Astyanax mexicanus: one gene and its partner. The protein of the gene in region 2 purifies or fractionates together with the protein of the main gene of each other region. This does not show direct contact. Links are inferred from orthologs where the notes say so. Each region holds a gene or a part of one and is shown on either strand. Other genes may lie near its edges.

Evidence for each region. Proteins that work in one complex are often made in the same cells at the same time.
Region 1: the proteins of aicda (region 2) and ctnnbl1 purify together in Homo sapiens (affinity purification with western blotting; 3 studies listed by BioGRID, with this or other methods). This does not show direct contact. The link is inferred for Astyanax mexicanus from reciprocal best matches to the Homo sapiens genes AICDA and CTNNBL1.

What each region holds. Positions count from the first base shown.
Region 1 is NC_064420.1:14,715,189-14,722,800, forward strand, and holds the start of ctnnbl1 (beta-catenin-like protein 1), read right to left. Parts: upstream 3,083-7,612; 5' UTR 2,952-3,082; coding exon 2,922-2,951; intron 157-2,921; coding exon 1-156. UniProt on the Homo sapiens protein: Component of the PRP19-CDC5L complex that forms an integral part of the spliceosome and is required for activating pre-mRNA splicing.
Region 2 is NC_064413.1:6,983,308-6,990,576, reverse strand, and holds the start of aicda (single-stranded DNA cytosine deaminase), read right to left. Parts: upstream 3,047-7,269; 5' UTR 3,022-3,046; coding exon 2,809-3,021; intron 1-2,808. UniProt on the Homo sapiens protein: Single-stranded DNA-specific cytidine deaminase. Involved in somatic hypermutation (SHM), gene conversion, and class-switch recombination (CSR) in B-lymphocytes by deaminating C to U during transcription of Ig-variable (V) and Ig-switch (S) region DNA.

The DNA of each region.
Region 1 (7,612 bases), on a different chromosome or scaffold from region 2:
AAGCTTCTCCAGGATCTTCTCTTTGTCTTCCAAATCTTCATCCTCAGGTTCCCCCATTGCTGTGTACCTCAGAGCTTCTCGGCTGGATGTTTTCTGTTTGGCCCGAGGTTCATCGCCGCCATCTTCTTCCTTGGGTCGCTTTGCTCCTCGGTCAGGCTGTAAATGAGGAGAACACAAGGTGAATGAAGTTATATAGGACAAGGAATAACTGTTAATAGAATAACTGGTAATAATGATCATTTTATCAAGATTCTGGTCACAATATTTGTAAAACATAATTAGCATTTGTTATGGCATAAGCTTTTTAAACAAAAATATTAGCCTTTCACAGTGGTGCTTGAAGTTCAAACTTAGAGATTTCTGCATAAACTTGACCTAAAGCATCATAAGATCAGACACAAATTTACTAAGTACATGAGAAGAACCAAATCAAAGATATGAGACAAAACAGAACGCTTCCAATTAAGAAAATTCAATTCAATATTAAACATCTCTGAGTGTCAATAGTGTGTAATCCTTAAGAAAAAACAGATCATTCAAAATTAGAGTCAGGAGTTTCCAATCAATGGTATGATTAATCAAGTGTGAGTGGTAGGAGCCAGTTTTTGGTAAAAAAAAAAAAAAAAAACGTGAATCTATCAAAGTTTGAGCTTCACAACACCAAAAGATTTCTAAGGAGCACACGAAAAAGGTTGTTTAGGGCTGCATGATATTGGGAAAAAATATATATTTATCACACTACTGCAATATATCTATACTGCAATATTAAATACAAGATCACCAGATTTCTACAAATGTCATTGAATCAGCATATAACACATAAAAGCATTTCATGTATTTAAAATAAAAGGCACTTGGAGTAATCAAATACAATCTGAAAAAATGCAATTAAACTTTAAAACAGTGCTGAATTTACTTTTGGATTAAGAAAGGTGTGGCATGATTAAATTTGCCTTAAGTAACCTTGCTTATTTTTTCAGTTCCGGATTTCTTCTTTTTTTATTATTATTATTATTTCCTCCTTTTTTCTCTTTATATTTGAAATCCATTAAACATTCGGTTTTGTGATTAAGTCCCTGTTTCATGCATTGCAAAAATCAGAGTGTCCCTACATTGCAGGTCCTGCAATATAACTATTTAGCTTGTGCACACTGCAAAGATGATACTCAAACAATATAGTGTGCAGCCCTGAGGTTGTTGATGCTCATCAGGCTAGTAAAGATACTAAATTCATCTCTAAACTGAGAGGACACCACCACTCCACAGAGAGACAGATCCCCAGACGTGATCCACCAGCAAACACCCAGGCATGCAATAGTCTGTGCAATCACAAAGAAACCCAAAAGAACATCTTAAGCAACTAAAGGCCTTTTTGCACACTGGCTAATGTAAAAACTTATGAGTCCACCATCAAGCCACTAAACAACAAAGGTGAGCATGAAGGCAGCTCGAAAACCTTCTCAATAAATCTTTAAAATAGCAAGAGTGAATCATGAAAACCATCACGGACCATCACTAAATTTTGCATTTTATTTAGAAATCATTGGACCAGCGGCTGGAGGAAAAGTGGAGAGACACACAGTCCAAAGTGCTTGAGGTCTAGTGTGAAGTTTCTATAATCAGTGATGGTTTGGATAGACATGTATGCTGGTGTTGATCCACGGTGTTTTATCAAGTCTAAAGTCAGTGCAGAGTTTTCCAGTTGCTGACAACTTTTATGGAGATGAGGATTTCATTTTCCAGCAGGACTTGGCACACTGCCCACAGTGCCAAAAGTACCTATTGGTCTTATATATATATATAATATTCTAACGCTTATAATGTATCAGTCTGTGTGTAATACATCTATATAATATAATATAGAGTTTCACATTCTGAACTGAATTACTGAAATAAAGTAACTTTTCAATTATCTCAATTTTTTTAAGATGCACCTGTATGACTGCTCTTTACACAGTTGCAAGACAAAGTATTGGAACCGTTTGAAATGTCTTGGATTTCTGCATAAATTTGTCATAAAATGCGATCTGGTCTTCATCCAAGTCAAAGGTAGACAAATATAATGTGCCTAAAATAATAACACACAAACAAACTATGATCTTGGACACACTCATTCAACACTCAAAGTGATAGCAGAAAAACCAAGCGAATCTTTGGAATCAATAGCTGGTATTTTAGTAGTCACAGTCCCAAACAGTCTGCATTTGTAAATTGTTTGCCTTATTGTAGATCTGAGAATTTCTTCAGCCTCTGAATTCTCTTCCTAATCCTTTCCAGCTTTTGGTAAATCAACAACTTTTGATTTCAGATCCTTGATACGCGTATCTTTTTGTGCAGAGTTTTTTTTTCCCCAGTCAACTTAGCTTCAGTAAGTTACACACCTCCAAACAAGCAAGACGCCAGGTATGCTAGCACTTGACTCTGACTAGGTAAGTTAGCTTCTTTGAGGTCAACACAAGGGTTCAGATACTTTTTCTTGCCACTGTAGTTTGGTAACATAACCTATTTAAGCTGTGTGTGTGTGTGTGTGTGTGTGTGTGTGTGTGTGTGTGTGTGTGTGTGTGTGTGTGTGTAAACCGACTGTAGCTCTCTCTGTATTAGTAAGTTAATAAGAGCTCCTAAGAGAAGCTAAATTGACAAACTAAAGGGTTGTATGAACGCTATTAGATAAACACATACAGCTTATTAATATTATAGCATTTTTCTAAGCAAGGGACTCTTGTAAAAACAGTGCCAGGAGGGGTTTAAAGCACAGTAACAGCAGTAATCAGGAGCTGCACCGGTCTGTTAGCTAGTTAGCTAAGCTAACTAACATGCTCGAGCTGCTGCTGATGTTGTTGTTGCCGGGTGATGCTAACTCACTCACTCCACAGCTATTTTATCATTTAACACAAAACTAAAGGAGTTAAAGCCGTAAATACCTGGTAATTCAGCAGCTCTCCAACATCCATACTGCACACACGCCTCCTCTACTCCAATAGAAATCCTGTTTTAAGGGTAAATATCCCCACACTGCCCGTTTACCGCAAAACTTCTGTGTTCTCGCTCAGTGTCGCTGATCCGGAGCGGCTTCCCGAACATACCGCCCCCTACAGCCCCGGAGAGAAAACAGAAAACACACACACACACACACTATTTATTGATTGCTGCATTTCTACATTTAATTATTTATATTTTTCTGCATCTATTTATTTATTCCTTTATTTATTTTAACATTTATTTATTTATTCCTTTATTTATTTTTTAACATTTATTTATTTATTAAAACATTTATTTCAACATTTATTTATTTATTTTAACATTTATTTATTTTTAATTTATTTACACATTTCTCCATATATTCTACTCTAACGTTAGAATAGTTAGAAGCCGGTTGCTTCTGTCTGTATGACCAGTTGACCAATCCTGCTTTAGAGCGAGGATAGGACCGCCTACCTAATTAACATACAAGTGCAGAAATAATAAAAGAAGAAATGTGAAAATAAATAAATAAATAAAAAACATAAAGAAATGTGGGAATTAATCAATGAATACATAAAGAAATGTGGAAATAAATAAATGCCTAAATAAATAAATGCAGAAACAGCCTCAAATAAAGGTTTATGCATAGAAATATGAAAAATTATTGATATGAAATATTAATGATATCATTTTTAGTGTGTACTTTTTTAATGACAAAATGTATTTATAAAATAATTTATTTATGTATACAATTATGTATGCATGCATTTATTTATTTATTTATATATTTATTCATTTTTATGGGCATTTATTTATTTTGTAAATAATATTAATTTCATAAAATTTTTCATTGTCTTCATTATGTCCACCCTATTGTGGTAAAATGTCAAAATAAATTAAGGGTGCTTTTGGATCTACCTTGTTTGGTCCAAATTCAGCACAACACCTAACAAAGCGAATCAAAAAACAAGTCTTCAAACAAGTTAATATGAGGTATGGAGATGACGCCTGCAGATAACGACACAAAAGTTATTTTATTCACTGTTCACTAAACTGTGGTGTGAAACCAGAACTCACCAGACCAAATATACACAATAGATGACAAGACATGAATCTTTGTGCAGACTCTGGTCCAGAAGCCCCAAAATTATTTTAGAAATAAGACTCTATCTTTAAAACAGAACAAAGTAATCATTAACAATTCAACATACTCTACTTTCACTTAAACTGTTCACCTTGTCAATTTGAGTGGATGCATGTATGACTGGAAATGTAGTCTGAAGTCTTATAAATAGAATAAATAGTCAAAAGAATTAAACACAGTTGGTTCTGATAAAGAAACACATTTCTTTGTTATGCCAGTATATAACACAGTTGGTTGCCATAAAAAAAACTCTATTTAAGGAAGTGTTCAAATATGAATGACACATATTTGAGTGTGTTTTCAGTGGCTGAGTTAATGCTGGTATTCAGATTGAGAGATGATGAGAGGAGTATGTACGATGCACAGTGAGGGGGGGGGGGGGTTCATGGATGCAGGCGCATCCTTGAAGGACCTACAGAGAGGATTGTAGCACATCTGCATGCGTGTTAGAGAGTCAGATTGAGGATTCAGAGCAGGCTGGTGTTTTGAGTCAAGAAGAAGATTACCTCTTGTTGTGTCACGTCGTGGATTTAAAGATGTACTCGCACTAAACAATCCATGCAATGCCTGGGCACGGTTACCTCTCAAAGCACGGCTCGTTTTACTACTTCACAGTACGCATGCAGTGTAAGCACTACCCGTGCCCAAGCATGGACCAATATGATGTCAGTGATGTGACGTTCCTATAAACAAACATGGCTCTGTTGTCCCAAATTCAGCACCCCCGCCTGGAAAAGCGCCCCCTCTCGGGCGCTTTGTCGCTTTGTATGTAAGCATGACTGAGATAACTGTGATTTTTGGTGTGTATTTCTAAATAAGTTGAAGTGTATTATCTCCACTTTAATCAAGAAGACAGTGCAGTGTGTACATGCTCCCGAGAGAGGGTGCTTTTCATGGCAGGGGTGCACAATTTTCACATCACCGGCAAGCCCACTAAGCAGTGAGAGATGACGTAAGCGTGCTCGGGCACGGATTGTTTAAACACAGTTTGAGTGCAGGCCAGTGGGGGAGTGGGGAGGGGGCAGAACCGTGCTCCAGCACAAATCAACCATGCTTAGTGTGAGTACACCCTAAGATTGCCATCCAACAGCACATTACACAATATTGTGCACATTTAATCACCATGGAAACATGCCCACATGTAGATGTTGGACAGTGCTATGTTTACAAATGATTTAATGAGACACAAACAGATATAAATGTTTATATACTTTATAATACTACTGCTTTTACTACTGTTAATGTGCGTGGCAGCCATCTTGGATTCTGAACTCAGGGTTGGTGACTCTGAGGAAGATATGAAAAGTGTGTAAAAGATGTTTTTATTTTTTTAAGGAAAAAATCTATCCAAACTAACCTGACCCTAAATGAAAATATTTGCCCCCTAAACCTATTAACTTGATTGTGCCACAAAGCAGCCAGGATCATTGCACTACCACCACCATGTTTTATGTTCAGTGTGATGTTCTTTTTCTGAAATTATGTGTTATTTTTACACAAGATGTTACAGGACACACGTCTTCCAAAGGGTTCTGTTTTGTCTCATCAACAGAATGTTTTCTGAAAGTCCTGGGAATCATCAATAAAATAGCTGTTGAAATTTGAGGTTAGCATAGCTAGCTACTTTTTAATTCACTTTAAATACAGTATGACCAGAAACCATTTAATATTCTAACACAAACGCAGAAGAAACAAACTCTGAAAGGTAGGCATGCAGGAATAAGCTGGATTCCATCATAACATCATATAAGTAGTGGGCAGTTAGTATTTTGGCTGCACTCTGTAAAAGTATCAAGCACTTGGGCAGTTCCTGGACCAGCTGTTTTTTGTTGGCTACATGCTTCTATTGTCACACCATGGTAACTTGTGGTCAATGACAATAAAATAAACCAGGCAAGGTATGACCAGCAAGGTTTGTGTTTGTAATAAAGTGGACAGTGAGAACACAACGCTGTCCGTCTCTAAAAGCTCATGAATGGCACACTCAGCAGCGTAATGAAGGTCATTCTTTGTGAGAAGTGAAGCTAATTGTCCATAACGGAGTGTCTCCATCGGTGTGGGTTTCCTGAGTAACAGTAGGAGGGTTGTTAACGGCGCTGTAATGACCCTGCTGTTGTAGGGAGGACGCAACAGCTCCACTACAGCCGTTAAGAGCTCACGGGAGGTCATGCAAATCTTGATGAATGTGACTCCAGGGTTGGTACATAAAACAATGGCAACATAAACAAAGCTGTATAAATGCAAATCTGCCTGATCAAACTTATGTATATATTTCAGCATTAAAAATCCAAAAGAGTGATCAAATACAGGCAGAGTTGGGGGCTCCAAGTGGTTCAGCGGGCTAAGCGCTGCCACTATGATCAGGAGATCGCAGATTCGAATCCTGTTCATGCAGCTTCCCAACGGTGTCGGAGGGAGCACAACTGGCTTTGCTCTCTCTGGATCAGTAGATGGCTCTCTCTCCCCTCATCATTCCAAAGGGTGATGTCGATCAGCACAAGGTGTCTGTAAGCTCATGTATCAGAACCGCTGTGCTTTCCTCTGAGTGCGCTGTAATGCTACTCAGCAATGCAATGAGTGGGTTGGGTAGTGGTCCAATTAAAATGGGGAGAAAATGGGAAAAAAGTATAAAAATTATACAAATACAGGCAGAGTTGGCAACGTGAGGAGAACATACAAAAATAGGGACATACCAAAGTGTAGTTAGACAGTTTAGGTAGATACACGGAAAAACAAGGTCATACATGGAAAACTGAAACAACAGGTAGGAGAAATGCTTTGTAATGTTGGACAAAACCAGAATAATACTCTTTGACACACAAAAGAGACAAGGGGCTATGTATAGTGCTAAAGATAGGTGCAAACAATTAGAAAACAGGTGATGTGCATCTGGGGAGAGTGGTCATGTGATTGTGACTGTGTGTGTGATCAGAGTACGGTGCATTCTGGGAAAAGGAGTCCATTGGAGAGAGTTAGGAGAGTTAAGAACATTGTCCTGCTGAAATATGAAAGATGGAATGGCAGGAAACACATGCACATATCGCTAAGATGTTAGTTCTCCTCATATCACTACTAGAGGTGACTGAGAGCATCATAGAGGGATGTCATCATCGCAGTCAATGAACTTTCACCAGGAGGTACACTTCCCAAAAGTAGTATCTTTTTCATAGAAAAGAGGGGGGAGCACTTTACAGATTTCTTTTTTTTTTTGCTATTTTGTCATACTTACATTTTTCAGATTATCAAACAAACTTCAGACAAATATAACCTAACTACCGTAAATACAAAATTCAGTTTTTAAATGATAATTTCATTTATTAAGGGAATTAACTGTGATCATTAACTGTGATTAACTGTGATGCCACATCCAGACTAAATTACTGCCAGACCTGTAGAATTAAGAAATTACTTAAATAGAACCTGTCTGACAACATGAAGCAGCTAAAAGATTTCAAAAAGTCACATATTCTGCCGAAATCTGAGGAAATTCAAAAACAGAAGAGAAAA
Region 2 (7,269 bases):
TAGGGTGAAACAAATAATTTAATAAATATATATAAATAAACAAAGAAACGAGAAACAAATAAACACGTAAACATAAAACAGGGAGATATATACAAGGAACTGGGGAATAAACCAAATAACTGAAAACAGATAAACTAATAACCAAAAACCGAGAGAAACTAAAGAACATAAACTAAACCAACTAGGAATATTAATAATAAATAACGAACAGGGCTAGGGAAATATATATACAAGGGAATAAACTAGAAATAAACAAGGAAATAAACTATAAACGAGAAAACAAGAAAAAAAAACGAGAAACAAGAGACTAGGAAACACTGAGAGAAGCTTTGAGACACAGAGAGACACAGAGAGACAGGTGAAGGTGCAAAGACCAACGAAGAACAAGTGACAGAGGAGGGCTATTTATACTAACATGAAACACACTAGAAGTGGAAACACCTGGGGAAGGGGCGGAGCTACAAATGAGACACGTGGTGGAAAACTACTGAGACAGGAGACACAGAGGAGCAGGGGTCACTTGGGAATAACACACAGGCACAAAGACAGCGAGAAACAGGGCGAGGACGTGACACCCTGTGTGAAAAAGGGTTTGCCCTCTAAACTTAATAGCTGGTCGGGCCACTCTTAGCAGAAACAACTGCAATCAAGCGTTTGTGGTAACTTTTAATGAGTCTTTCACATCGCTGTTGAGGAATTTTGGCCCGCTCTTCTTTACAGAATTGTTGTAATTCTACCACATTGGAGTGTTTTTTGAGCATGAACAGCCTTTTTAAGGTCATGCCGCAGCATCACAGTAGGATTCGGGTCAGAACTTTGACTAGGCCAAAGACACTTTGTACACACACTGACTTTAACTGAGACAAGTGAGGCCTGAAGTTATGTGGATGTTGTTGTGGGGTCTTTTGTGAACTCTTGAATGAGTCGTAGCTGTGCTCTTGGGGTAATTTTAGTTGGCCTGCCACTCCTGGGAAAGGTTTACCACTTGCCATTTGTGGATAATGGCTCTCACTGTGGTTCGCTATAAAGTCACAAAAAGACTGATAGATCTCAATTACTTTCTTTCTCATTTGTTTCTGAATTTCTTTGGATATCGGCCTGATGTCTAGATTTTGAGTATCTTTTGGTCTACATTTTCTATTTAAGTGATTTCTTTATTGAGAACAGGTGTGGCAGTAATCAGGCTTGATTGTGATTAGAGAATTTCAACTGTGATAAACCAAAGTAAAGTTATGGTTTAACTGGGGGGCAAACACTTTTTCACACAGAGCTGTGTAGGTTTGGATTTTTTTTCTCCCTTAATGATAAAAAACCTTTATTTACAAAATGCATTTTGGGTTTACTTGGGTTTGTCTTTGAATAATATTTAAATTTGTTTGATGATCTGAAACATTTTAGAAGAAAAAAAGAAGAAAAAGAAATCAAGAAGGTGGCAAACACTTTTTTCACACCACTGTATAAGTCAGGCTTTATTGTTTTGCCACTTTTTTTTGCTATCTCACACAGTTCTCTGCATGGTTATATAATTGTAACTGTGAGTCATACAGTGTCAAAAACCACATAACAGGCATTTCCAAACTACTTGGTTTTGAGGTGAGTCTCTGGTTTAGGAAGCTCTAGACTCCTATTACTTGTTACCTTTATACGTTAGCTTCACAGCTGCGATGCCAACAGAGAAAACCTCAGACACCAGTTTTTGGTGTCTTGTCTAGGGATGTCTCAATCTGATGCAATGACTCGGAATCAGTGCTGATCCTGGCATATTTGAATGAATCCGGACTCTGCTTTTTTAATCCCAATTCAGTTTACAACGCACAAGGTGCGTCACGATGCTCATTACTATCTTACATCCTTCCGACAGTCTATTTGGCTGTATTATATATACAAACACAAAGCTCAGATCAGAATTTTACTCAGCATTAAAGAAGAAATCCGGTGTAAAATGGACTTTGGGTGTAGTAAAACATGATAAAACTTACCTTTGTTGAACAGCACACATTCGCTTTCCTACAGCTTTTTGAGTCATTTTGTACTTTTTGCCCAGCACTCTGTACAAAGGGTGCATATCGTGCCATATTTTTCCCTGATAAATCACTTTTTACACCGTTATCCTGGCTTAAAATAGCTCCTCACCTTTTTGGTAGAATCTGGAGAGCTCTAACATTTGAACCGAGGCATTAATAAGTTTAAAAGTGCACAAGAAGCACTAAAGCATTAAAAAAACACTGTTTACATCCCATAACGCTAGCTTATCACAGGGTGGAGCCATCATTGTTCTGATCATGAGCATAGACATATATAGATTCCACATAGACATATATACATAGACTCCGCGTAGCCTGCCTCCTGGTGTAGCAGCCAGTGCCCAGTGCATTTATTTGCACTGGAGAAGGTGTTTAATACACCTATATTAATCTTCTTGTGCATTTTTTAAGTTATTAATGCCTCGTTTTAAATGTCAGGGCTCTCCGGATTCTAGCAAGGAGATGTGGAGCTACTTTGAGCTGGAGAACGGTGGAAAAAGCTATTTATCACCCGTTGTACAGAGTGCTGGGCAAAAAGCACTAAATGACTGTATTTCAGAAAGCTGTGTGGGAGAGTGGAGGTGTGTTATTCAACAAAGCTAAGTACTTTTTTATCATGTTTTACTACAACAAAAGTCTTCCTTTAAGAAACTCGGTTAAGATAACCTGATCAGGACATTCATAATCCTGGCTAATTTAATGCATGTGGAGCATCTAACACTCCCTGACGTCACTTCCGCATTTCCTTCTCCTGCAGTGTGCGGTCCGTCCGTCCATCACTCACCTCCACGTGGCAGCCGGAGCGGTTGCGCAGGTGCCCGAAGTCGAAGGACAGCGAGTTTGGTCCGATTCGCCTCTTCACCACGAAGCAGAGGTAAGTCTCATGCCTCCCACGAGCCCAGCGCACGTTCTTGTAGTGATAGATAAACTTCTTCTGGGTGAGCAGAATGCTGCAGTACAACAAACCCACCCACCCAAAAAATCCGGTGAGGAACATCGTTAGTGTGAATTAATGCTAAGTGCTGCTGTTATTAGCATTGTAGCATTGCCCATGCAAAGCAAGACAAGGGTGGGAGTTCTTCTGAGACTTTTTTAGCAGAAGGATCAGGTAAGTTCTACATCACTTCATTACTTCAGTCAGAATGGCATCAGAACAACAAAGAAAAGAAGTCAAATAAATATTGAAACCATGCGCTGCATTTAGTTTCAGGTTTCGGAGAATAGTGAGCAAGCGGTTTTAATTTTACGACAGCCACCGGTGCACTCATGCGTGCGGAGACTGCCTTAATATTACTCATTTGAGTATCTTTGCTTTGTATCTTTTCTAGACTTCCTAGGAGATTAAGGCTATATATATATATATATATATATATATATATATATATATATACTGTAATTTTAAATCTTTATGTTTTTCTTCAGTTCAGATGCAAAGATACAGTACAGAGATGTGCAGATTTTAGAGTGTGTGCCGAAAAGTTGAATAGTGCACCGTGCCGAGCTAATTAAAGCACACTAAAGCACAAACCAACAGTTTCTCAGTTTCATTCCCCGTCTAGTGAAAGTAGAGAGAGTCTGAAAATGACGTTGCATTACCATGATTATCATGATAGACACCTCATGACATTTTTCATTTCTATTCTCTCTATAAGTATAAATATAGATTAATTCTTAATGATACTAGAGTGCTTCAATAGTATGTCTCGCAGGATTTCTTCTCTCTATATATTTTTTCTCTTCTCAGCTTTATGTGTTTTTGTTTTTACTCACCTGTCCAGCTTGCTCGTCATTCCGAAAGACGAAAGTCACTCATTGATTGAGTCATGCAAAAAGTCAGTGAGAGTGCCGAAAGTGCATGGAGGAGGAAGGACGTATAGAAGAATCTGTGACATATCTCGATACACTTGAGCGAGAGGGGGTCCCTGATTGGGTGAGAGCTCTTTTTAAAAACGGTTTGGGAGGGCTAACGTGCATTTAAACTGCTCAGACAAAGACATGTTTATTTATAGCAACTGCTATTTAAAAGGACGTGCAGATAGAGGTTCACGTTTATCTGCTTCAGAGAGTCCTATTTTTTTGGCAGAACTTCTGTGCAGGGTCTAAACAAGCTGTGTGTCAATCTGCACATCTGAGCTGAATATATTTATTAGGAGGGGTGTCCTTATGTTAAAAAGGTTTGGCCACCCTTTATCATTTTCATGATTTTTCTTTATACATCATTGGTTCTTCAGATCAGCAATTTCAGTTAAATACTGTATATCATATAACAGATGAACACAGTGATATTTGAGAAGTTAAATGAAGTTTATAGGATCCACAGAAAGTGTGCTATAATTATTTAAACACAAAAAAGCAGGTGCATAAATGTTAAATAACTAATAGCACTAATTATTGGAATACACAATTTGTTTGGTAAGCTCTTTGACCCTTGACCTACAAACACAGGTGAATCCTGAGAATTATGAGAAAGGATTAAGGAGCCAATTGCAAGTTTTTCTCCTCTTTGCATCTTCTCTGAGGAGCTGCAACATGGGAGCCTCAAAACACAACTCTCAAAAGACCTGAAAATAAAGATTGTTCAACATCATGGTTTAGAGGAAGGATACAAAAAGCTCAAAACAAAAAAAATCTCAGATAATCAGAGGAGAAGGATGGTGAGAACAGTCAGACCAGCTCCACACACCTAAAACATCATCTTGTTGCAGATGGAGTCACCGTGCATCGTTCAACTATTTACTATTCAGCGCACTTTTACACAAGGAGAGGCTGTATGGGAGAGAAATGCAGAAGAAGGCTTTTCTGAGCACGCGCCACAAACAGAGTCGCTTGAGGTACGCTAAAGCTAAAATTGAGTTATTTGGAGGACGCTTATTTATGCATGACGGAAAAAGAAAACAGCATTCCAAAACAAACACTTTACTGCTCCCCACAGTAAAATGTGGTGGTGGTTCCATCATGCTGTGGGGCTGTGTGATTAGTGCAGGTACTGGGAATCTTTTTAAAGTTGAGGGTCTCATGGTTTCCAGTCAATATCAGCAGATTCTTGAGAACAATGTTTAAGAATCAGTGAGAAAGTTGTTGAAGTTGAGCTGGGGCTGGATACTTTAACAAGACAACGACCCTAAACACTAAACACTGCTCACAATCTACTAAAGCACTAAATCATTCATACAGAGGAACAAGTACAACATTCTGGAAAGATCATCTCAGTCCCCAGACCTGAATATTATTGAAATATAATCTGTGGTGTGATGTAAAGCAGCTGTTCATGATCAGAAACCTGAATCAAACCTGACTGAACTGGGGATGATTTGTAAAGAAGAATGATCCAAAATACCTTCAACCAGAAGCTTCAACCAGACTCTCATTGGAAGCTATAGGAAGCGTTTAGAGGCTGTTATTTCTGCAAAAGGAGAATCTACTAAATATTGATGTCATTTTTCTGTTGGGGTGCCCAAATTTGTGAATCTGCCTAATTTAGTTTAAAGAATTATTGTACACTTTCTGTAAATCCTATAAACTTAATTTAACTTCTCAAATATCACTGTGTTCACCTGCTATATGATATATTTAACTGAAATTGCTGATCCGAACAACCAATGATTTATAAAGGAAACTCATGAAAATTATTAGGGGTGTCCAAACTTTTTCACACCACTGTATATTTGGACATATAGTGAATTTTGAAATGTATATAAAGCCGTGTACAGATGTCTGAGCACATCAGTGTCATTCACATGCTGCTGTTTTTGGCAGTGTTCGCCTGTGTGTCTGTTTGAGTACAGCGCATTGTCTTGCTGGGCCAAAGTGCAGTGTTTGCGGTAAACTAAAGGGAAAAAAAAAAAACTCCTTGCCTTCAAGCCAATTTACAGTTTATTTTGCAGTTTAATGATTTGAAAATAAAATAAAAGAAAATGCAAGAATTGTATCATACACTATATTGCCAAACATATTCAATTACCCGGCTTATTCATTGAGTTCAGGTGTTTTGATCACTTCCATAGCCACATGTGTATAAAAGTAACCCGCTAAGTATTCAGACTGCTTCTACAAACATTAGTGAAAGAATGGGTCGCCATCAGGAGCTCTGTAAATCTGTCAATCTGAGAGTAGGCCTGTCACGATAGCAATTTTTTGCGAACGATATTTTTTTCCCAGAAATTATTGCGATAAACCATATTGTTGGCATTTTTAGACCACTAATTTGGCACTAATAAAATGATAAAATAGTATCATAACAAAGGAATGAACTCTTTTAAAGACAATAAACTTTCCATTCCTTTTCACACACCTAAGTTTGGAACCGCACCTAATTTTGCCAAGTGCAGCCACGGTCTGTCCCAGCTGGCATGCGTTGAACCAGCATAAAGACCCTGCCTGGTGACGGTGAGAAGAATTAAAGGCAACACGAACCTAAGAAACACTAAAGTGAAGCGACTAGAGCCTCACTGGGCCGTTGTTATGTTTCTTTATGCTTGTTTTGGGTGTGGATGGAGGCCATTTTTCCTAATAGTATTGGGAAAACCATAAGTTTTGAGTTCATTCCCTACTTGTTTTTGTGACTCTCTGTGCTTCTGCACTCCGGGGTCACGGTGGCCACACCCACAGTCACAGTATATGTAAGTGCATTTTGTAAGTGCCAACACAATGGGCAATATCACGATTATTAAAATGATTGAAGTCATGTCAATTCATTAAACGATAAGTCGGCCTATCTGAGAGTCTAAAAGTTTGGCATTTGCCAGGTGAAGGGTACTTCTGACTGAACTGACTGCATTGTGACAGGTGTAAAGTTTGGTGGAGGGGGGATTATGGTTTTGGGTTGTTGTTTTTTTAAGGAATTTGCCTTGGTCTTATTTAATATTGGATTCCATATTTCAAGGATTTTGCATGACAGTGAGAATTAAAACTTTTTTTTTTATAAGCATTAGTGATGTCAAGTGATAAAAACATGTTCTGTGATTGTGAATAAACCTAAAATAAAGTTCATTACTTGCTTTTAGCTATGAATGTATTTGAAATTGTAGAATTCCCTATTCAGTACATCCATGATTAAATAACTGGCATAGACTTGAATTCGCTTAAAATCTCTTTATTTCAGATGCATAGCATACCAGGCATCTGTATACCAGGTGTGAAATTTCCTCATTTAAGCGATAATACACTTGATGTTGGTGCTATAATGTGTAATATTGGAACTGCTATGTCGCGGTCGTAGCTCAGCACAGCAGTGCCAATATTACAT